Linked DNA regions of Schizosaccharomyces pombe. The protein of the gene in region 1 purifies or fractionates together with the protein of each later gene. This does not show direct contact. Each region holds a gene or a part of one and is shown on either strand. Other genes may lie near its edges.

Region 1 (11,243 bases):
GTGTACGAGGATGCGTACGGTTGTCCAGTACAGACATGTCAGGACAGAAATTCGGCAACTCTTCAAAGGGAAGGTTGGCAACATCGATGGCACCATTAAGCCCATTTCCACGAGCCGATTTTCTTCTACGGGCCTCAATAGTGGAAGGACTAGAAGAGATGCTTCTTTCAGCAGACCGGAGAGCACCGCTGTAACTTGGTGACGAGTCTCGAGAAGAGACACTACTGCGTCCGCGAGAGCCAGAAGATGAAGAGACATTGGAATGCCTGTTAGCCCATCGACCTACATGATTATTACGACGAGCTTTAGGAATTGGATGAATCCGTTTACGACGCAACCATATTAATTCTTGCTGCAACCAAAGTTTCGGTTGATTTTTGTAAACTTCGTAAACAATTCCTTTCATGCAAGCTCGCATGCCATGTCTCCTCGAAATATTTGTATATGATAAAGATTTCTGTTTAGGAGGAGACAATGGCGGTGTAATTAAAACAAAGCTACCTCCATCGGGATTTAAGTTCTCCTGATCTTTTAAAATTTGCATCTTTGAAATTCGATTTCTCAATACAATTGACCGCGGAAGAAACCTCAATGGGTAATTTCTGTGCTTTGCAGAAGACAACTTTTCGGTGGACTAGGGTTTCGTTGTCACTTTGTTACTCTCCGTTGTAGAAAGCAATGTTTTCGATTCGTATTCAAAGAAAACTTGTTTAGCAGAAGGTACAAGTGTTTTTGCATGCTTTCTATTATTATAAAACAAAACATTCTCAAAACACTTTGTTAGGTTTCTATTGAAAATACGATCCATGATGAGTATTTTTGCAAGACTAAATATCACAATTGTATCACATCTTGCTAATTATAGATAGGCAAAAATTTTAAACAAAAAAATAAAAAAAGTTTGATTCAATGTTTTTATGCAATTTTAAACGGTACAGTTTAAATATGTACCTAATCGAATTGTAAACATATACTTCAAGTACCTAGTACTTGGGAATTGCATTTCTTCAAACTTAACCTTTATGACCAGCGGATATTATTTCATTTGGCTATAGAATATCTTATGCAGATAGCATTTTTTCAAATCGAAATTGTTTTATAGTGAGATGTCGCTTTGCAATACTTGACGATCAAAAAATACAGCTATAAAATACTATTCGTTCACTGCATGTGGTTTTTGGATTGTCTAATTGATTTAGCATAATGAGGATACTAAAATTAAGATGCAGTAAATTATCCTTACTTTTGTGGAATTGTGTAAATAACAAGAACACCAATTGTTTACAAGGTATTCGAGTAAATAATCCATTTCAATTTCAGTATAATAGACTCCAAATAGATATTTAGTTCCGTTTAAAAAATTAAAATTAAAATGTAATTTAACCAAGCATTAAAAATAAAAAATAAACAATGAATTTGTTAACTCAATGGATGTGAATATTGTTACACCTTTATGCTTACTCTTAGCGAAAACGTGCGATAATTTATTTAAAATGGACCAGATAATTCAGAAATACTTCTAATTTTAAATCCCGATTACAATACACTGGTGCTATTCTGTAGAGTGTTTTCGTTCGTTTTGCAATTTTTTACAATCAATCCAGACAAACGCTTTGTTCATATTATAAAAATTCTAGTTGAAGTAATGCTTCCAAAAAGTGATAAATTAAATAAAATACCAAAGTTGAAGGAATAAAGTTTACTATATTAGTACTCACAGCAATTTAGTGTTCATATTCTAATTATTAGGTCTGAAAACCTTTTGGAAAAAATGACTGTTTCAGAATCTATAACATTGATTTCAAAAAAAAAAACAATAAACAATAAATCGATTGATGTTAGGATTTTAGAAAATATTTTCAAATCAATGAAATTGCATATGGAAAATAGTAGTTTTATTTACACGTTGAAGGGAATTCTACCTGTCAACGCAAAAAAATAAAAAAATAAAAAAAATTAATGTGACAACATAGTGTAAGCTAAGAAGATAATGATAATTATAAAGATTAAATAATATATTTATATACTACATGCTAAACAATATTTGACTTTGTTCCCAGATCTTTATTTCAGGTTTTGACCAAGGAAACGATACTAAATTGCGTTACCTATCGCCATAACCTATAAGTCACCCATAGTCAGATTCTAGTGATAAAGATTCATTGCTATAGTTAACTTACCTAAAGAATATAATATAATAAAACATTACTGTCCTACTAAACTTCTTAGTTCAATAGCACGGCCATCTTTTTTAAACAATACCACTAGACGGTTTTCAGCCTAACGCATCATTATGTCTGCATAATGAAATTTCTTAAATTACTTTAACGAGATTACACTGCAGTACATAGTATTGTTAGGTCAGATTAATACAGTTCAAGGTCAGTTTGGATTGATGCGCTGAGAAAGATAACGAAAAATAACGAAAAATAACGCGACTTTATCGACACGAAAAATTTTCAAAAAATAGCGATTTCTCCCTTTTCACAGTACCGGCGAGACAATTGGGGAAGGACTTGAGGAAGATATTACTTTTGGATCCATAAAGTTGTTTTCGTACATTAGATATCCATATCCTTTTCCGACTTTTTTGTCTTTCGTGGGTAACGACGTTTGTTTACGTTACAGTAGTATTACCAGTTTTCTGGCGAGTTCTTTTCCCTTAGTTGTTAAGAAGTTGATTGTTTTTATTGCTTTCCGCGTTTAAAAATATAAAACGCGAAAGCACGTGTCGTTGTCTCTTTATCCTCTTTTTTGTTCTATGGAGTGTTAAATCGTAGAGCTGGATAACTTCCATTTTTTATTTATACATTACTTTCAAAAATATTCGAAACACACAAAAGTTGCCTGGTTTATTATTATATAGTTTTTTTGTTACGTTCTATCAAATTTTTGAAAACACGTCAAATCCTCGTTTCTAATTACCCGCCGAATTTTTTGCATCACTTTATATCCTTTTCATTTAAAAGTAATTTTAATCACTTTATCTACGGTTTCGTCTGCTTTACCACCTTTGCATTATTTTTTTCTAAATTCATTTACTACACCTATAGTGGCTGGTCATTTCAAAATAATTTGTGAGTTTAAATTTTCTCATTGAACGCTTTTTTTTTGCTTTATTTTATTTTTGGTGTTTTTATTTTCGACAACTCACGAATAAGTTTGTTTACATTCGTTTTTGTTGATTGTTTACATCAAACTGCTTACTCCGTTCACAATAGCTCTTGAAGATAATTGTGAAAAGCATCACTCTTCTTTTCTACGTTTCTTGCTTTAAAAGATAGCTTTTTTTTTTCTTCTTTTCTAACATTTTTCTTCATAATTTCAAATTTTTGATTGCTTGTTGTTTTTCCATTCCGTTGTTGACATGTCGCTTGCTACTTTACAAGGACAGTCACTAGATTTTGCAGTCAAGCATTCACTAGATGATTTGCTTAAAAATCCCGTTCGCTTTCGTCCCGCGGTTGTTTCCTCACCATCGGTTCCTGAAGGTACTTACACTGTCTTAAACAATCCAAAGCAATCTACTGTTAGCCGTAAGTCATTTTCAGCGCCTACTTCCCCAACTAGAAACAAACGTTCTGGTTCTTCTTCCCAGGAATACAAAAAATCTTCAGGAACAAGGGGTGATGGAGCTAATGATTTTGTGGATGAGGATCCTGCTTTTATACCTCCGGCTCGCATTCTATTTCCCGAAGAAAAATTGTCGATGGAATGGGATAATATCATGCCCAATGCTCCGGGGCTCGTAAATCTCGGTAATACTTGTTTCATGAATTCAGTACTTCAGTTGATGACTCAAACTCCACCGTTGGTTCAATATCTTTTATCCGGTCAACATTCTTTATCCTGCCGTATGAATGCATGTGTACTCTGTAGAATGGAGCAACATGTCGCCCGTGCCTATCCCAACAAAGGCACCAAACGAGCTTCGGCCTTCAAACCTTCAGGTATACAAAGTATGCTCAAAGTAATTTCCAGTCATTTCCGCCCATATCGCCAAGAAGATGCTCATGAATTTATGCGATATTTGGTTGATGCTTGGCAAAAGTCTTGTCTTCAAAACCATAAAAATCTTGATCATCCAAGCAGGGAGACTTCGGTAGTACACAGAATTTTTGGTGGTTACCTACGCCAGCAGATTCTATGCTCAGTTTGTAAAAAACCTTCCAACACCTACCAAGCTTTACTTGACTTATCTGTGGATGCGAAGGGCTCCTCCTTGGCAGATTCCTTAAAGCATTTTGTGCATGCAGAAAAACTTACCAAACAAAACAAATATCGATGTGAAAATTGTAAGCAACTGGTGGATGCGTCCAAGCAAATGACTATTTATCGGGCACCAAATATTTTAACCATTCACTTCAAGCGGTTCACATTCAACGGTTTCCAATCTAGCAAAATCAGTAAGCAAATTTCATACCCTGAATCATTCAATCTCGGTCCGTATATGTCAGATCCCAATTGTTCTTGTTGGTACGAATTAATTGGGGTTCTTGTACATGCAGGCGGAAGTACCCGAAGCGGCCATTATTATTCGTTTTGCAAAAGTAGTAATGGTGTTTGGCTTAAATTTGACGATGATTTCGTTTCCAATTCCAGTATTGATCGAGTTTTGAATCAACAGGCCTATATTTTGCAATACAAGAGGAAATCAACTTCATCGTCTAAACACAAGCTAAACACCGAAAACACGGTTACCAAAACTTCTAATAAAAAACGGAGAAAAATTTCATTTTAATGCGATACAGTTAGCTTGAGCAGTTAAAGTTTTTGCTTCCTTTTGCCTATCTTTTTTTTTAATATGCTAATGTCTCTCTTATTTAGAGGTTGATGGTATAATATTATTGCACGTAGAACATTTTAATCTTGAAACAGCGATTTTTTATAGAAATCATTTTGTAAATTAAACCGCTGCATTGCATAAGACTGAAATGAGCAACTTTTTAGCTTTTAAATCAGTTCGTTGGTCAAAATGATAATTTTATTTTGACATATCTTCTGTTGAATTATAGCGGATTTAATGCTTATCTCCTACGGAACCGGGTAATTCTTCCTTAGGCTTTAGCCGTAGGCATTGCATTTTATTAAAGTACCTGAAGTTATCTTCTTCTCCTTTATCGTTTTTATGAAGAAATTGATCATTATTTTCAATGTAAACATACTTGATACCCATTCTATTATAACGACAGTAAATCGTATTAGCAAAAACATTTAATTGCAATTTTTGCAAATGTAGAGGTCGGTTATTAAATTCATAGTAGTAGAAGGTTTCCAATTAAGCTTAACGGATATATTTGTTAGTGCCACAAAGTGCTACCATCTTCGTCATATAGATTTCAATGGAGAGGAATGAGTAACCCTTTGCACCCAACGACCAATTTCCAAAACTCCTTCAAATTGACTAGTAAAGTGATTTTATATACGTGAAGCAAATCTATGTTTAGCGATTGTAAGTAGTAATAGAAGAAAGTTACACTAACGAGTAGATGCTTCGCGTTTTCTTGCACAATCAAGATTCTCTTCTGTTGACCAGCGCAATTTTAAATATCCTACCTCAAGATCGAATCTTCAGAGTGTTAGCATAGACAGAAATAGCTCAATTGATAGTCATGAGACTGATTTGAGCGCCGGGTCTTCGAGTTTGCATGGTTTGAACTCCTTGATAGATTCTGGGTCTATCCATTGGCAATTACGAGAACAAGAGCAGTCAAACTCTCATATTTCAAGGAACGAAAACGAGTTATTTTCTAAAGAGAATTCTATTTACAATGGAAATTTCTCCGAAAATTTAGGTGTTCAACCGAATCCACAGACTATATCTCATGAAAGCGTAAATGAAGAATATACGGAATTACCTTATGATGCCCATCTTCCATCAGAACAGAAGGTTCCAGATCGAAAATGGGGATTAACATTTGGATTTTTGACGTTGGCTCTCTTTACCTATAGCTTCCTGATGGTTTGGCGGACAAATCCTAATATTCCTCCAGCCACTTCTCCTTACGCAGCAATACAAAAAGCATTTCCATTATTTCATAAAGATGCGATTATTTGTATGATGCTTTCAGTTATATGGCTCTTCTGTCTTGTCGCAATTCCTCGTTTTCTGTACTTCCTGCTAGCATCGGTCCCATTGACCATGTTTGCTTTTGCTGTCTACTTGTTAAAAGCGTCTAGGATCCACTTGGAAACGTCAATTCAACCAAAGTTGATGCTATTAACTGGGATAATTTTGCTTGTTGCACCCATTCTGCTTTCATATTATGTTTGGCGGCGTCGTATTCATTTTGAAACTTCCTTTAATATTATTCGGCTTGCTTGTCGTGTTATAGCTGATATTCCTCAAATCACTTTAATATTCATCAGCTTCTTGTTTTCGTTTTATGTTTTAATCTTTATATGGGTAAGATTGTTTGCCCGCTTATTTTTGCGCGGTTCTACCCTTGTTGGTTCTGTATGGGTTTTGCCGAGAAGTTCTTGGGTCTTGGCCTCCTTTTATTCACTTCATTTCTTATGGTTGTGCACATTTTTTCATGCTCTTCAATGGTATGTTATTATATTGCTTTGGCCGGATTTTTTACTAACACAATTGTAGCGCTATTATTTCTTCAATTGTTTCTCAATGGTTTTTTTATCGTGATACTAAGTCTTCGGCTACCAAAACCAATTTAGTTTCTCACTTTTTCTATCACGTTGTTTCCAATCAGTATGGTTTATGTGCCTTTTCTTCCTTTTTAGTTGTTATCACCAAAGTACCATTGCATTTCCTACCCACATGGCTAAGACACGTTTCGCGTATTGTATATTATATGTTTTCAAAGACGTCTGCTTCGTATGTCACATCTCCTCTTACCCTAGCATACGCATCAATTTACTCAGTCCCGTACATGAATGCGTCCAAGGCTTTGTATCAAATCGAACAATTGAACCGAGTAGGATTACGCCGACGTTCCTACTATTTTTCTAAATACACTTTGCTAGCCGCTCGTTCCCTCCTCGCTATAGGAGTTGGCGTTACTTCGTGGAATTATTCCATTCATGAAAATGGTGTCTTTTATGGCTACATTGTAGGACTTTTAGGCGGATTCCTTGCTTGGCTTATCATTGGCGCCATAGAGGGCGGCCTCAGCATGATGTGAGTAATTATATTTAGTTATCCTCGCGTAAAATACTAACTTTTTCACAGTGTGGATGCGTTACTTATATGCTCTATTATCGATATTTCTAGCTGCCAAGGAGATCCTAATGGTTCTCACTGTTTCGAGGCATGGCAGCTTTTTGAATCAAATGGATATTAAAACCAAAAATGCGAATTACTTCTTTTGCTGTTTTTCTGTTTCTTTTAACTTCCTTAGAACCTACTTTCATCAAAGAGCTCAAAGAAAGAGATGCTGGTCACCTGTACGCGTATCCCTATTCCCTTTTACTTCATTAATATAATGTCAGCCTACTTTTTAACATTGACACCTTGGCGTTTGCTAGGATTTCTTTTCATGAAAAGTTTTTTCTCAAGCTATCCATCATATCACTGTAAATTAAAATATGATATTTTGTATGCAATTTCTTCGTACTAACTTAAAATTACACTTTTATCCTTCGTAAATACAATTTAACAAACGTAGACATATCATTTTTAACATACAAGCAAATAAACCCGAACCCGACGTGTAACTTTTACAAGTTAAGAGGGTTACAAATATCTGCAAAACTGTCTGCGAAAAGACAAGATATAAATAAAAACTCTATGATACTTAGACATTGAAATAAAAAACCTACGTTAGATAAAGTCGTTAAATCTCAGAAAGAGGAGTCCACAAATGATAGAAGCCAGACATGGATAGTATGAATACAGTGATTAAGCCTTTTGTTCGGCATTAGCCGAAACTTCTCCATTTTGAACAGTTGGCTTTATGTCCTGCTGTTCCATAGCTTTACTAGCAGCCAAAGAATCCAAAAGATCATGAAGAGCAATCACGGCCCTCACGATGCTGGAAATATAAATGGACATCAACTGATCATTGGAATTCACATTGAAAGCACGTTGTGCCTCTGATTCCAAGGCCTGTTCTGAAACCACAGGACCGCTAAAAATGTTAGGCAAAAGATTAAACACACTCTGAAGCTCGGCAAGGATAGCATGATTTATAGGTAGTTGCCCATCCACGACTTTCCTTAAGTAATCTGCGATTTCAGTGAGACGCTGCCCAAGGCCTTGTAAAGATTGTGCCTGCTGGGTAACTCTTGTCGCTAAAGTACCAACGGATGCATCACGAGTATCACGTAACAAGTGTTCAACACCAATTTCCTCTGCTTCCTCTGCCTCTATACTGGAGGGTAGATGAACAAAAGTTCTGCTGGACTTAGAGCCGTCGTCTTCAATTTCATCAATGGCAAAGTAGGCATTAGTCGGAAGACCCACTGATTTGGGCTTTACATCGATAATGACAAGAACGGGATTGGGTATGTATTTTTTAAGTAAGTTGTTGATTTCCAAATCAGAGGGTCGGAGTTGTGGTCCAGTATGATACCAGCCAACTAATTTTTCATTTGCATTGATTTTTTTAAACATTTCATTCATTGATTCCATAAAATTATGGTCCAAAAACCAAACCGATGCATTCTTTTCATCTTCCTCAAATGGTATAGCATAACTATTGGCCACGTTTACAACGTCGCCATTATTTTGACCCAATAGAATACCAACGACCCGTCTTTTGGTTCCCTTGGCAGATCGATTATAAGAATCTACTGCTGACAGAAGTACTAATGGATGCACAATCTAACCAATGGTTAATAAAAAAGTTTCTCAAATTTTCTACTTACAACTTGCTGTGGGACGATTGTAGAGGTTTCAGAGCTCACTGCAGGAGGCATTATAACCGGTTTATATTAAAAATTTGTCTCTCACAACTTCAACTGTGTATGGCAAACGAAAGGTTGAAAGCGTGTAACCTCTCATCACATGCTGCAGCGGTTTCCTACTTACCGCAAGTTAAGACATAGTTCATTACAGAAATATTACGATACTTTCAAATGCCCAACTACCTATTAAGCGCTGTAATATAACAATGCTTTAAACAATGATCATTCCATTAGGCTACTAAATGGCAATTATATTACACTCCCTCTCATATGTAGAAAGGATTGAAGAGCTATACATTTAAATCATGTTAAACGTGTAATTGCACGTAATTTACTCAAATAAATTCTGAAAAGACATGGACATTAAATATTGAAGACATATCTTGAAACCATCTGCTCTTTTTTTAAAGAAATACTTTGCATATCAAATTACATGCTGGTATTTCGATTTGAAGCATAGTATATCACTTTTAACTACTTAATCAAACCGAAATACACGTGAGACGCATTCCAAAAGTTCATTAAATATCTGTTCGATGACTATATTTACGATGAAACAAGTAAAAGAAACTTTCAGTAAGAACGTTCTTAAAAGTTTTCGTCTGAAGCAATTGAAACAGTTAGAATTCAGATATTTTGTATGTCCACACGTTTCATCAAAGCCATATGCATGAGATTTTTTGCAAACTTACATTAATAGGATTTGTGTTTTTGGAATTATTTCAAACGTTTAAAAATATTAACAGAAAAACATAGATCACTATTTGAGAACAACGATATTTCATCTTATCTCTAAAACGAAGGCTATCAGTTCTTATCAAAAAATGAAAAAAATTTCAATAAAAGTTCACTACACTAAAATCCTTTAACTTTTCTTTTTCAACACAACGAAACTTTTTGGTTATTAATTAAATTTTTAAATAGATAGAGAAAGATGGCTCCTGTTCAGTTGAAAAACAAAGAGTCGCAAACCGCTCGAATTGTGGGATCAGCATCTGCCGGAATTCTCGAACTTTCACTCTTTCATCCTGTTGATACAATTTCCAAGCGTTTGATGTCAAATCATGGAAAAATTACTTCTTTAACTCAACTTAACACTGTAATTTTCAGAGATGCTGCCTCTGCTCCTCTACTCCAAAAGGCTACCTCTCTTTTTCCTGGTTTGGGCTATGCTGCTTGCTACAAAATTGTACAACGTATTTATAAATATAGCGGTCAACCAATTGTATGTTGTAGAGTACTTATACTGGTAGTTTAAAGCGTACGTTTTTTCCAAGCCTTGATGGCGGAATTAATGTATCGCAGTTGGCTTCAGTATACTCGTTCATCTTTACTAACATGTTCAGGTAAAAGACTTTTTGAATGAAAATTATAGACATACTTTTGATAAAACTTTTGGAAAGGGATCTGGAAAAGCCATTATGCATGCTACTGCTGGAAGGTATGTATCTGTCGAATATTTGTTTAACTAAGCTGAAAGCTTATGTTTAAGATTGTTGAAAAGGGAATTCAAGATGTGTATAGCTTACTAACTTTTCAGTATCGTTGGAATTGGAGAGATCTTCCTCCTTCCCTTAGACGTCCTGAAAATTAAGCGCCAAACCAATCCTGCAGCTTTTAAAGGTCGCGGTGTTTTCAGAATTCTCGCTGATGAGAAATTTGCGTTGTATCGTGGATGGGGATGGACTGCCGCCCGCAATGCCCCAGGTTCTTTTGCACTCTTTGGTGGTAACGCTTTTGCTAAGGAGTACATATTTAAACTAAAGGATTACTCTCAAGCCACTTTTTTTCAAAATTTTTTCACCTCAATCGCTGGTGCTTCTGCTAGTTTGATTGTCTCTGCCCCTCTCGATGTTATTAAAACTCGTATTCAAAATAAGAATTTTGATAACCCTCAATCCGGGTTTACTATTTTGAAAAATATGCTTAAATTCGAAGGACCTACCTCGTTCTTTAAAGGGTTGACTCCCAAATTGTTGACAACTGGTCCTAAGCTTGTTTTTTCATTTACCATGGCTCAAACCCTTATCCCCTTCTTTGATAAGCTTTTGAAATAATATGCTTTATTTCTTCATTTCAATGTTGAAATATTGTTGAGTGTGCTCTGTTTTTCTATATAAATAATTCATTGGGGTTGTAATCTTTTGAAAGACTTTACTTTTTGGTTCTTTTTGTTTTTGTCATTCAAAAGTGAAGAAAGTTTTTTTTTGAGACTGTTATTGATCTTTTACTTTGTAAAAATACTAACAAATATTTTGTTTTTCTTTTAATTTTTTTAGATATACTTGTCCTTAATCTACTTATTTTCTCAAATATTACTTCGATTGGTGTTTGTTTTGTTTATTTTGTTTGTTTCTGTTATTGTTTATTTTTCTGAG
Region 2 (11,478 bases), on another chromosome or scaffold:
GAATTCAACGATGTGATTTCATGTCTATGCGTTGGCTAATATACAACGTTTAAGATTATGCTTTCAGCAGAGCCTTTAAATTTCTTTCGATATAATAGTACTAACGTAGCTAGAATACGCGTTACTGTTCCCGTATATAGCTCTCGTAAAAGTTACGTCCAAACAAAGCCGATAACGCATAGTGCTGAAAATGAAAATGGTAACGAAACATCTGATGAACTAGTGTTCTTTCAGCATTCAATTCCTGCTTATGTCCAACTCACTAACGTAAGATCTTAACATGTTATTATAACTTACAATTATAGAACCATGGCACAATTTTGTGTGCTTTAATACTTTGTAAGGGCATGCTTCATTTTGATAGCATTTCTTTTCAATCACCTCAAAACTCTCAAGCGTTCTCATCTGACTTGAGGTTAATTTTACAAAAATCACAGAAGTACACTGGCAGAAAAACAAAGCACGTTCCAGCTTCTATCAAGTCAAGTTTACTTGAATTCTTGGATGAACAAGGAATTACAGTAAAATTCATGAAGGCGCTAATATCTCGCAGTTGGCGAAAAGAAAATGTCTCCTATAAGCATTGGATTCATAATATTATTGGATTTATTTTACCTTCTGAATCATCAACAACTAAAAAATCAGACTCCCAATGATGGTATAATTGTTCTTTGAATTCCTTTACTTTATGATTAATTGGAGCAATAACGCTACACCACACTACGATTCCAAATGGGACGCCCACTCTAAAAATAAGAAAATTTGGAGTATAACATATGATTATGATACATTTTTATACTTATCTTTAGCATATCATTTCAACTATTCAACAACATGGTCGTTTGTAAGTATTTCCTTCAAAATCGGTGCAGGTATGGTACCAATTGTAAAAATCAACATACGGTACCTTCTAATGGACAAAATGCATTTTCTAAGGTTAATGTCTTTCGTCCAGAGAATGGACGACCTCCAATATGGGTACAAAGGCGTTTGAAGAGAAGCGATTTAGATAATTTGCTTCCCAATAGAAGAATGAAGGATATTAACGACGATCTTAAAAACGCAAAACCACAATGGCCTTTTACAGGTTATTCAGTAGTTGAGAATCTACCATCAATTTATGAAGGCGATGTTTCGCCTGAAGAATTGCGGTGGTGGGCATATCAGGCTAAAGCGACAAACAATATGCAAGCATATGAACAACGCCAGAAACAGTTGATGGATGATGTAGAAGCAAAAGCAGCAGCCGTTAAACGGTCGCCTGCTGCTGCTTTCGATGAAATGAGAAATAAACTCGTCGGAAAGACAAATTATAAGTCAATTTTTGATAAGTCTACTAGCAATTCAACGGTTACGTCTAATCAGTTCAACAAGCCAACTCAAAATAGTCCTTTCAATTCTTTTTCAAATAACAATAATTCTTTCAATAACAATCAGCAAGCAAACGATATTTTTGGCGCCCCTACGACTTCTGCATTTACATCGCAATTAAATGCGTCTCCATTTTCTCAAAATACATCCTCAAATTCATTTACGGGAAGTAATCCAGTCCAAAACAACCCATCTTCTTTTGGTTCGTCTAGTTTTGGTTCGGCAACCTCAGGGCCATCAGCATTTGGGGGAATATCTCAGCCAAATTCGTCATTTGTTAATTCCGGACAAGGGATTCCTAACTCATCATTCTCCTCGTTTTCACAAGTTGCTTCTGGGTTTTCACAAAGTCAAAATGTGAATGATCCAAGTTCGATTTTCGGTCCTACTGTTGCCAGCGGTTTTGGAATACAGAATCAGCCTCAGCAATCAGCTTTTCAAAATTTGAATACTCAATTCTCGCTTCCTAATAATTCACAACCAGTTTTTGGTCATACATCTTTAACACAACCAGTGAACCCAAATGGTTTTACTGTTCAGCCCCCTGCTACTTTTATGCAACAACCTCAAGGCCCTTTTGTTCCGCCTAATACTACTTTTGAATCTCCATTTGCCAATGTAACCTCTAAAATATCCGCTTCAGGATTTTCTAACGATAATCCTGCTAACAAAAATATAATCCAAACTCCTATGTTTGGATCTTCTAACACAATTGACGGTAAGTTTTTTTACTTTGTATCCTTGCTAGTATACGAATATGACTAACGATCATCGACAGGTCCGATTAATCCAATAGGTGCTTCTTCTATCCAAACTTTGGATGATCAAGTAGAAATGAGTAATTCCAATCAAAATCTCGCATTTCCCCCAGAAATGATTCAGCAATTTGAAGCTCAAGATTTCATTCCCGGAAAAGTTCCAACAACAGCCCCTCCACCACAATTTTGTTAATTATTTTATTAAAATAGTTATTCAACGTAAGTTTTTTCGGGGATTTTTGATTAGTATTAAACTTTGTTCAAATTTCATATTCGATATTAGGTTGTAAATATATATATATATATATATATGTAATTTCAATTACGAGTATTAGACAAAGTGTGATGCTTTCCTACACGGCTATCTGATAAAGTTGTACCTAACTCGATTTATGTATCATTGTAAAATTCTAGAAAGAAAACAGTACTATTTTTTGTTATTAATTCATGAATCAAACTGATAGCTGATTTGATATAGAGGACAGAACTGTCCTGCACGCCTATTGGGTCTAAAGAGATGGTTGTCCCAATTCCACACACAATTCACTCCAGATTTTTGCAAGAACCCAAAACTTTTGTTTATGGCTATTTATATATAAATCTCAATTTTATTTAATTCTTTAAATGTCTGCAAATATTTCTTACCTAGTCAATCCACCTACAGAGGTCGGTTCATCAATTCCAGCTGATACTGAACATGCCATTTCAGTTACTTTACCTACATGGAAATCCAATGTTGGATATGAAGAGGGAGATCCTAATGTAACTACTAAAATGAAGTCAGGATATCCGAGGTTCTTTATAAGCGCACACGTCAAGGATTGCATTAGCATCATAAAGAAATTTCCAGAGATTGAGATTTTGAAGCTAAAGGACTACGATATGTTTTTGTATCCTTCATTATCCGTTGCTAAGCAAAGTGCAGCTTTTCTTGAAAGTAAAGGACCTATAGACTCTGCGGAAGTCATTATTTATGATGCCACGAAGGGACTGCGAAAACATCTTGATTCAATTGACCGAAATCGCAAATATACTGAAGAAATACACATACCTCAGGTTTATTCTGTATTGTTTCCATCCAAATACTTTGGGATTGCCAAGCAATTCTGGCAACATACGGGGGACGGTATTTCAAGCAGACGCGCAGCTGCTTTTCTGCATTCCTACAAAAAAATTCAGTCTATTTCCGAATTTTTGGTTGCCCAGAGGTCTATTTCTCATCTCAAAAGTAAAAGCAGAAGCCGATATGCTTCCCATCCAGATCTACAGGCTTTGAATACTTGGATGACTAACGAAGGAAACCAAGCTAATGATGAAATGGAAGACGTATCCCTATATTTGGAGGAGAGATATGGGCGTAATTTAGATTTAAGTTTGGCTACAGCAGCTAAACTTGTTCTTCGACGACGTATCGCTGGTACCTTAAAAGATGAAGTTGATTTGCAAAAGGCTTTACCCAAAGAAGGGTCTCAGTATTTACGTGAAGTTAAAGGTTTAAGTCACGACGATGTTTTTTTATTTCCTACTGGCATGAGTGCTATTTACAATACTCATCGCATATTAAGGTTGGTGCTTGATGATAGCCGTAAAAGTGTTTGTTTTGGTTTTTGTTATGTTGATACCTTAAAAATTTTACAGAAATGGGGATCTGGCTGCTACTTTTATGGACTAGGTAATGACGAGCAACTTGATGAGTTTGAGAAACGGTTAGAAAGTGGAGAGAAAGTTATGGCATTGTTTTGTGAGTTTCCATCAAATCCTCTTTTAAACTCTCCCGATTTGGTTCGTATTCGGAAATTAGCAGACAGTTATGATTTTGCTGTCGTGGTTGATGAAACAATTGGAAATTTTGTCAACGTTGAGGTTTTACCATTAGCAGATGTAGTTGTCAGCAGCCTCACAAAGATTTTTAGCGGTGATAGTAATGTAATGGGAGGTAGTATGGTTTTAAATCCGTCAAGTCGTTACTACTCTCGAATAAAAGATGCTATGAAGGCTCTTTATGAAGACTTATTATATGATGAGGATGCTTTGACATTAGAAAGAAATAGCAGAGATTTTGCTGAACGTTCACAAGTGATAAACCATAACGCGGAAACAATTTGTAATTTGCTTTATCAAAACCCTAAAATTAAAACTCTATACTATCCCAAATACAATACATCAAAAGAGCATTTTGAAGCTTGCCGGAGAGAAAATGGAGGTTATGGTGGTCTTTTGTCTGTCGTTTTCCACAATCCTGAAGATGCGCGCCAATTTTACGACAAAATCCAAGTAGCAAAAGGTCCCTCACTTGGTACAAATTTTACGTTGGCTTCTCCCTATGCAATTTTAGCTCACTACCAAGAGTTGGATTGGGCTGGTGAGAATGGCATAGATAGAAACCTTGTTCGTGTCAGCGTTGGAATGGAACCCAGCGAACACCTGAAAAATGTTTTTATAAATGCTCTTTCATAACTTGTATCTAAACTGTTTTCAAATAATAGATATTTTTTAAAAACCCAATCATATAACTATAGTTATAGATGAAACTGTCATAGTTATTCTTGAAATTGTTGTTTTTTCTTTTTGGTATTACCTTAAATATATTTAAACAAAATAGAAAATATATGCCTGATGTGATAGGAAAATGTAGTAAAGATATGTTTTTCTAGCTATTTCGAATGTGAGAAATATTTTAGGAAGTTCATTGTCTAAATGTTTACTTCGGGAACAGATGCAACGAGGTACAATACGTTCGCTTGGGGTATGCTACTTTGTTCTCAACGCTCAGTAATAAAGTGCGCGCGCTAGAAATTCTTTTGGTGCAAACCAAAATCATAATGCCCGAATCGGCTCCTTCAACTCCTCCATCTGTAAATCGGAGGCATGAACCAGAAATGCTTTCAGAGTACCCCTCGCTGATGTTTGAACACTCATATTTGGCGTCACCCTCTAGTCCGATTGATCAGGTTCATGACGAACTCAAACACTCTCAGAAACGTCCAAGATTAACTAACGACGAAGAAACAATTCCAGAAGAAGATGACAGTACTGTTCGCCTTACAGACTCAGAGCTTGAAGATCCAGTTTCAAGCAACGAGTTGATTCAAACTTCATGTCACCTGCTCACAAGCGTGTTAACTCAGCTACAGACCAACTTAGATAAACTTAAAGATAGTCATCAAAAAGCATTACTTCGGATACAAGAACTAGAAAAAAAGGTCTCTGAATTAAGCAAAAATAATAAAGATTCATGAGAAAAACCCATATGCCAATTTGAGTGGAATTGCGATCATGTTTTATCAGCCGGCTCAAAACAAAAAGCAATATGACGATCTTGCTGATATAGAAGCTCAAAATAATGTTCCTAATACCCAAGAAGTTTTAGAGGCATGGCAAGAGTCTTTAGACAGTGATGAGGACGAGTCTTCGCCACTTGAGGAATCCAACGGCTTTACAATATCTGAACATGACGATTTCGTAAAAAGCGTTCCAAGAAAGAATAATCCAACGGATTTGCTGTATTCTGGAAAGCTTCTGGACTCAGACGAGCCTCCATCTGTTCATGGAAATTCTTCAAAAGTACCCTCGAAACACCCCAGTCCTTCCTTTCCTGAAACTACTTCTCTGAGGAACCTGCAAAATGGTTCAAAGCAAAAACCAGCACTCCCCAATTTTAACGATCCCCATTTTTATAATGAAGATGTCACTCGCTCTGGACATCCTAATCGATCTATTTATACTCAGCTTCCTCGTAACGAATTTTCCAACGCTCGCGTTCTTTGGAATCGTTTAAGTGCCCGGGATCGGGTTCTTTGGAGATGGGCAAACGTAGAAAATTTGGATAGCTTTCTTCAGCAAGTTTATACTTACTACACTGGTAAAGGATTGTCTTGTATAATTGTTCACCGACTATTTCAAATTTTGACAGTTTCATTTGTTATTGGTTTTACCACATTCATAACTAGTTGCATAGATTGGCCTGCTGTGACACCCCATGGTTCACTGGCTGGTGTCACAAAGTCTCAATGCATTGCACAAATGTCGCCAATAACGTATCTTGTTTTGTGGCTTTTTTTAAGTTTTCTTTTGGCACTTTGGATATATTATCTTACTGATATTCCAAGGTTATGGCAAATGCGTGAGTTTTATATTCATGCCTTAAAAATTGCTACCGCAGATATGCCAACAGTATCTTGGCAAAGGGTTTTATATCGTTTATTGAAATTAAAGAATGTAAATGCTCTTACTGCTGAGGATGGAAGGGTAGTGTCTCTTCATAACATGAAACGCCTGGATGCTTATGCAATTGCAAATCGTATAATGAGAAAAGACAATTACTTCATTGCACTGATAAATAATGGAATAATTAATATTGAGCTTCCTCTCTTGCACAGGAGAATACTCACACATACCACGGAATGGAACATAAATTGGTGCATATTCAATTTCGTTTTCGATGAGCAAGGTCAGCTTCGTAGTGCTTTTCGAAATCCTAACTCCCGGAAAAGGCTTTCTGAAGAATTACGTCGTCGATTCATCGTCGCTGGTTTCCTCAATTGCCTTTTTGCGCCAATCGTTGCAATTTACTTAGTAATTCACAATTTCTTCCGCTATTTTAATGAATATCATAAAAATCCAGGCGCGTTGAGTACAAGAAGATACACTCCATTAGCTTTATGGACTTTTCGTGAATACAATGAGTTACAACATTTTTTTGATGAACGCATTAATGATAGCTATGCGGCCGCATCTCATTATGTATCTCAGTTCCCTGACTTTAACATGATTAGGTTATTCAAATACATATCATTTATTTTAGGAAGTTTTACTGCGATTTTAGTAATAATCACAGTTTTTGATCCTGAATTAATGGTAACTTTTGAAATAACTAAAGATCGATCTGTACTTTTTTATCTTGGTCTTTTCGGATCTCTTATAGCAGTTTCGCGCTCAATAATACCTGATGAAACTTTGGTTTTTGCTCCGGAAAAAGCTTTAAGGCGCGTAATCACTTTTACACATTACATGCCAGGATGGTGGTCTGATAACATGCATAGTAAAGCTGTTCAACAAGAGTTCTGTTCTCTATATTCATATCGCATAGTTAATCTTCTTTGGGAGATTCTTGGAATTTTGCTGACACCCGTATTGTTGTTTTTCACTTTTCCTTCCTGCAGTCAAGATATTGTGGATTTCTTCAGAGAACATACTATAAACGTTGAAGGCGTTGGGTACGTCTGTAGTTACGCTGTTTTCCAGGACAACCCGCCTTATGAGTCTGTCGCTTCTTTGGTACAATCACGTAAAATAAGCCCTCTAATTCAAAATAAACCAGAACTTTCTCGCATCAGCTTTTACGAACAATTTAATACGGAAGCACCTAGAAGGGATCTTCGTTAATGAAATTGAGAGTCAGTTCTTGAAACAACCAAGCAAGTCTCAATGGCTTAATGGTTTATTTTTCTGTCATACAAAATGAAGGACAATGTTTATAAGAAGTGTTAACAATTTGCTAGCAAGGCAATTTGAGCCACTAATGCATGTAATGATTGTATTTTTACTAATTTCTTTTAATGAATGGTGATTGTTTGTTTGGAGAGTTAGCAGTTTACGTTGAAGCTTCTTTATTTATTCAGCTGTAGACTTTATGTTTTACTATTAATGAAGTTTACATTTAATGGAATGATATTATTTTTATGAACATCCGTACAATTTCTTTGAATCAATGTAAACACTGTTTATTACAGTTATAATTACGGAGTTACGCTACAGTGACGACTAATGACAATTACTTATGGTATTAATCAGTAGAAGAAAAAAAATAAAAAAAAATAAATAGATTGGAACAACTTTAAAACTTTCACTTATACTGCGACAAGTGGAAACAAATTTTCTTAGAGCATAGAAAATGCCGCGATTTTATTTTGTAGCATTGTTTTTCAATTCGGGTACAAGATGTATCGAAATGCATCAGTGCCGTTCAAATAATAACGATAAAGACGTTTATAGCGACAAAACCCGAGTCTTTCATAAAAAGACATGGCTGCCTCATTATCCACCTCTGTTTCCAAAACAATTTCCTGGGCACCTCTATTTTTCATTACATCCAGACTAGCTTGAGTCAATTTAGTAGCGATTCCTTGTCCCCTGTATTCTTTTACTATGGCCAGCATTGCTATATAACCTCTAAGCGTCGTCCCTCTATGAACATCTTGTTTGCATATTACAGCTCCAATAAATCGATCATTATCTAAAGCAACAAAACTGAATTCTGGCCTTTAATCTGTCAGTAAACTATAATGATATTGCCGAGTTTCATAATATGCAAGAAGCAGTTTGAGAAATCAATGAAATGGGAACATACCATTGGTGCACAAAATAACGATACACATATTTACTATATGGCTCACTCAAATCTTTTTGAATAAGCTGACATATATCTTTTAAATATTGGTGACTGTATGGGACAATTGTCACCATTCTCTTCTAGATATAATTTAGGGTCTGTAACGGTTGCAGAGCTGTATATATCAACAGCTTTAAGACGAATGTCGAAATTACAGATATAGCGTTAAAACGTTATATGCGGTTCTTAAACTGAGTATTATAAACAATGAATAAACGAGTAGGCCAGTATAAATTAAGTTTATAATTTGGCTTTTTTGCTTGGATTTGTTACATCTATGTCAATGATATGACATTTATAATATTGAGTGTTATATAAAATAATTTAGTATAAAAGCTTTTTATTGCGTACATTTAAAATTAATTCAACAAACATATATCAATATACATTATTAAAATGAAATATAAAATAACTGCCATTATTGGTTTCCGACGACGAAAGGAGATATTCGATGTAGATTACGCCCAATTAGGATAATTTCGGGATGGATATCCTTTTCTAAAAATGCTCGAGGCTTCTCCGACAGCGGCATAATTTCGAATACTTCGCGAACACCCTGAAAGATGTACCAAGAGCCATCGTCTTTATTAAAAATTCCTTTACTTCGATAAATCATAAACTCCTCGTCTTCCCCTTCCTCCAAACAAGACCAAAGTGTATGACGAACCCATTGTAGAAATTGCTGAAAAACCTCTTTCGACATTAGTGGGGGCAGTTTAAAAGTATGAGTTGAGATATCAAGGCTATGCGTATCGAGAGAATGCAAATGTTGGCAATCCACGTCCAAACAAGTAGAACAATTAATATTGCTATCATTGCTCCTTTGAATCGACCACTCAAGATTAGAAGTATTTTCGTTGCCGTATGCATCCAAGTCCAAAATTTCAGAAATGTCATCCAACCGTCCATATGTTGTTTCAATAATCTTCGCTAAGCAATTGATCTTCAATATAGTTTGACGTACCACAGATAATGCTTCAGAAGAAATAAGATCTGTTTTGTTTAAGATCAAACAATCAGCATGTGAAATTTGAATAAAACCAATATCACTTTCATCCTTTAAGATATTATCTATATTTTTACAATCAATAACAGTAACGATGCCATCTAACTTGACATCGCTTTTCAACGCGTCGTCCAACCAAAATGTTTGAGCAAGAGGACCAGGATTGGCTATACCCGTTGTTTCAATTACAATGTTATCAAATCTCCCCTTTTGCCTCATAATTTTTTCCAAAGCTTTAATCCCATTGTCTTTCACAGTGCAACACATGCACCCATTTGAAAGAGCCACCCACTCTTCATAAAGTTCTTCTCCTCCAACATCCTCCATTAAGCTCCTTTCAAGGTCTCCCGAATCACCCACCTCATTCATTAATACAGCAACCCTTTTACCATTTCGATTTTCAAGAATTGACCGTAGCAAAGAAGTTTTACCGGCACCCAAAAAGCCCGTCAGTATTGTGACAGGGACTGGGTCCAAGGTAGAGTCATGATCAACTAGAAGAAAATCTGATTGCTGCTCAAATGAATCAATATCATTATTGGACGAAACCGTAGGTACGCTTAATGTTTCCGAATGCGGTTGTGTGTTAACCTCTTCAACGTCAACCAGCTGTGGAATTTCCGACTCGTTTTCAATTTCAAAGTCCATTCTTACACCTTTTTTAAATAATGGTCATATAATTAATCTTTTCGAGTTGAATACTTTGAGAAATACTTCTAAAAGCCTCAATTTAGGTCTCACAGGTAAATACTTTCGAAAAGTGTTAATAATGAATTTTTTTAGTATGAAATTAGCACAACACTGTGTTTGCACTATATGCAGTCATTTCGTATAACACTGACATGGTTTTATAGCGAAAATTGTCAGCAGCTACGAATGAATAGTGTGATAAATTACTTATACAACGAATTTTACATGAAATGACTTTATAGCAAAAGCAAGACATCAGAGCAAAATAATAATAAACATAGCAAGTAATTTATTAAAACTACATATAGGCAATAGAATCTTTAAACATATTATTGCGAAATATTAATTATGATACAATAATTTACAATTATATATGATGAAAGAAAATGTTACTTTACATAATCCATTTCGGATAACTTTACTATTTAAGGCAACCATATCGCCTTAATTAGTAAAATTGCCCCAAATGAGGGACGAACTCAAAAATGATGCATCCGGAGCTGACCTTAGCCAGTCCACAGTTATTCGTCAGGGCTCAGTGCAATGCCAAGACAAATAACTGAGTCTCCACAATTCTTGTGCTGCAGAAACTCATGCCAGGTAAGTAAAGAACCGTAAGTGTAAGCACCCATATTTATAGTAACGACGCGGAACGAAGCAGTCACGAAAGTAGTCACATTCTTACATGCAATAAAGAAGTACAGTATAATTATTTAACAAAAATGATATTTAAATCGTTAAATTTTGCTGATTAGTGAAATCGTTCAGCGATTTGTAATTATATAAATCTCCAAAATTTCATAATAGGAAATGATTTCGTTGCTTTCAAGCCATGAATAGTTAACACGATGTATTAGTTTCTTAACTGAGTATTTTCGTAATGTCTAATCAATGCTATTTTCAGATGACTTTGGCAAGTTCTTGTAAACTCTTGTATTTTATTTTATTATTTTATAGATAAAATTAGTGTAAAATGACAGGTTACCAAAGACTTAAAGAAAGTTGTGTTTAACTAATCTCATCTGAATGAATTTTTGGTATTCAAATATGTGGACAAACATCGGAAACAAATTCAGTACAGTCTGTACACAACGTACAAAAGAAATGAAAGAAGAAGTCATAATAATTAACTATTTTCCAATTTTCAGTTAGAAAAATAAAAAAAAATAGAAAAAACCGGACTTCCATAGATGCTCATTTTTGGTCCAAAACATGTGGAATGTGAATTATATGTTATCTTCAGGATACACTAAAGGAGCGAC

What was found.
Region 2: the proteins of ctl1 (region 1) and atg9 purify together in Schizosaccharomyces pombe (affinity purification with western blotting; one study listed by BioGRID). This does not show direct contact.

What each region holds. Positions count from the first base shown.
Region 1 is NC_003421.2:388,381-399,623, reverse strand, and holds ctl1 (choline transmembrane transporter family protein), read left to right. Parts: upstream 1-5,358; 5' UTR 5,359-5,439; coding exon 5,440-5,452; intron 5,453-5,489; coding exon 5,490-6,549; intron 6,550-6,598; coding exon 6,599-7,138; intron 7,139-7,189; coding exon 7,190-7,301; 3' UTR 7,302-7,602; downstream 7,603-11,243. Other genes in the region: Clr6-associated factor 2 Laf2, read right to left, coding at 1-544; ubiquitin hydrolase Ubp16, read left to right, coding at 3,368-4,741; proteasome regulatory subunit Rpn8, read right to left, coding at 7,859-8,782, 8,827-8,877; ggc1 (guanine nucleotide transporter), read left to right, coding at 9,800-10,090, 10,212-10,306, 10,406-10,922. UniProt on the Schizosaccharomyces pombe protein: Required for the normal organization of the preautophagosomal structure (PAS) and for the correct subcellular location of atg9.
Region 2 is NC_003423.3:3,019,549-3,031,026, reverse strand, and holds atg9 (autophagy-associated protein Atg9), read left to right. Parts: upstream 1-5,368; 5' UTR 5,369-5,405; coding exon 5,406-7,514; 3' UTR 7,515-7,684; downstream 7,685-11,478. Other genes in the region: SPOM_SPBC15D4.11C (Mam33 family protein), read left to right, coding at 114-267, 306-656; nuclear rim protein Amo1, read left to right, coding at 835-2,089, 2,150-2,322; met3 (cystathionine gamma-synthase), read left to right, coding at 2,754-4,586; SPOM_SPBC15D4.08C (uncharacterized protein), read left to right, coding at 4,952-5,368; NatC N-acetyltransferase complex catalytic subunit Naa30, read right to left, coding at 8,054-8,390, 8,479-8,594; zng1 (nucleotide-binding domain-containing protein CobW/HypB/UreG), read right to left, coding at 8,939-10,174; gpt2 (UDP-N-acetylglucosamine--dolichyl-phosphate N-acetylglucosaminephosphotransferase), read right to left, coding at 11,443-11,478. UniProt on the Schizosaccharomyces pombe protein: Phospholipid scramblase involved in autophagy and cytoplasm to vacuole transport (Cvt) vesicle formation.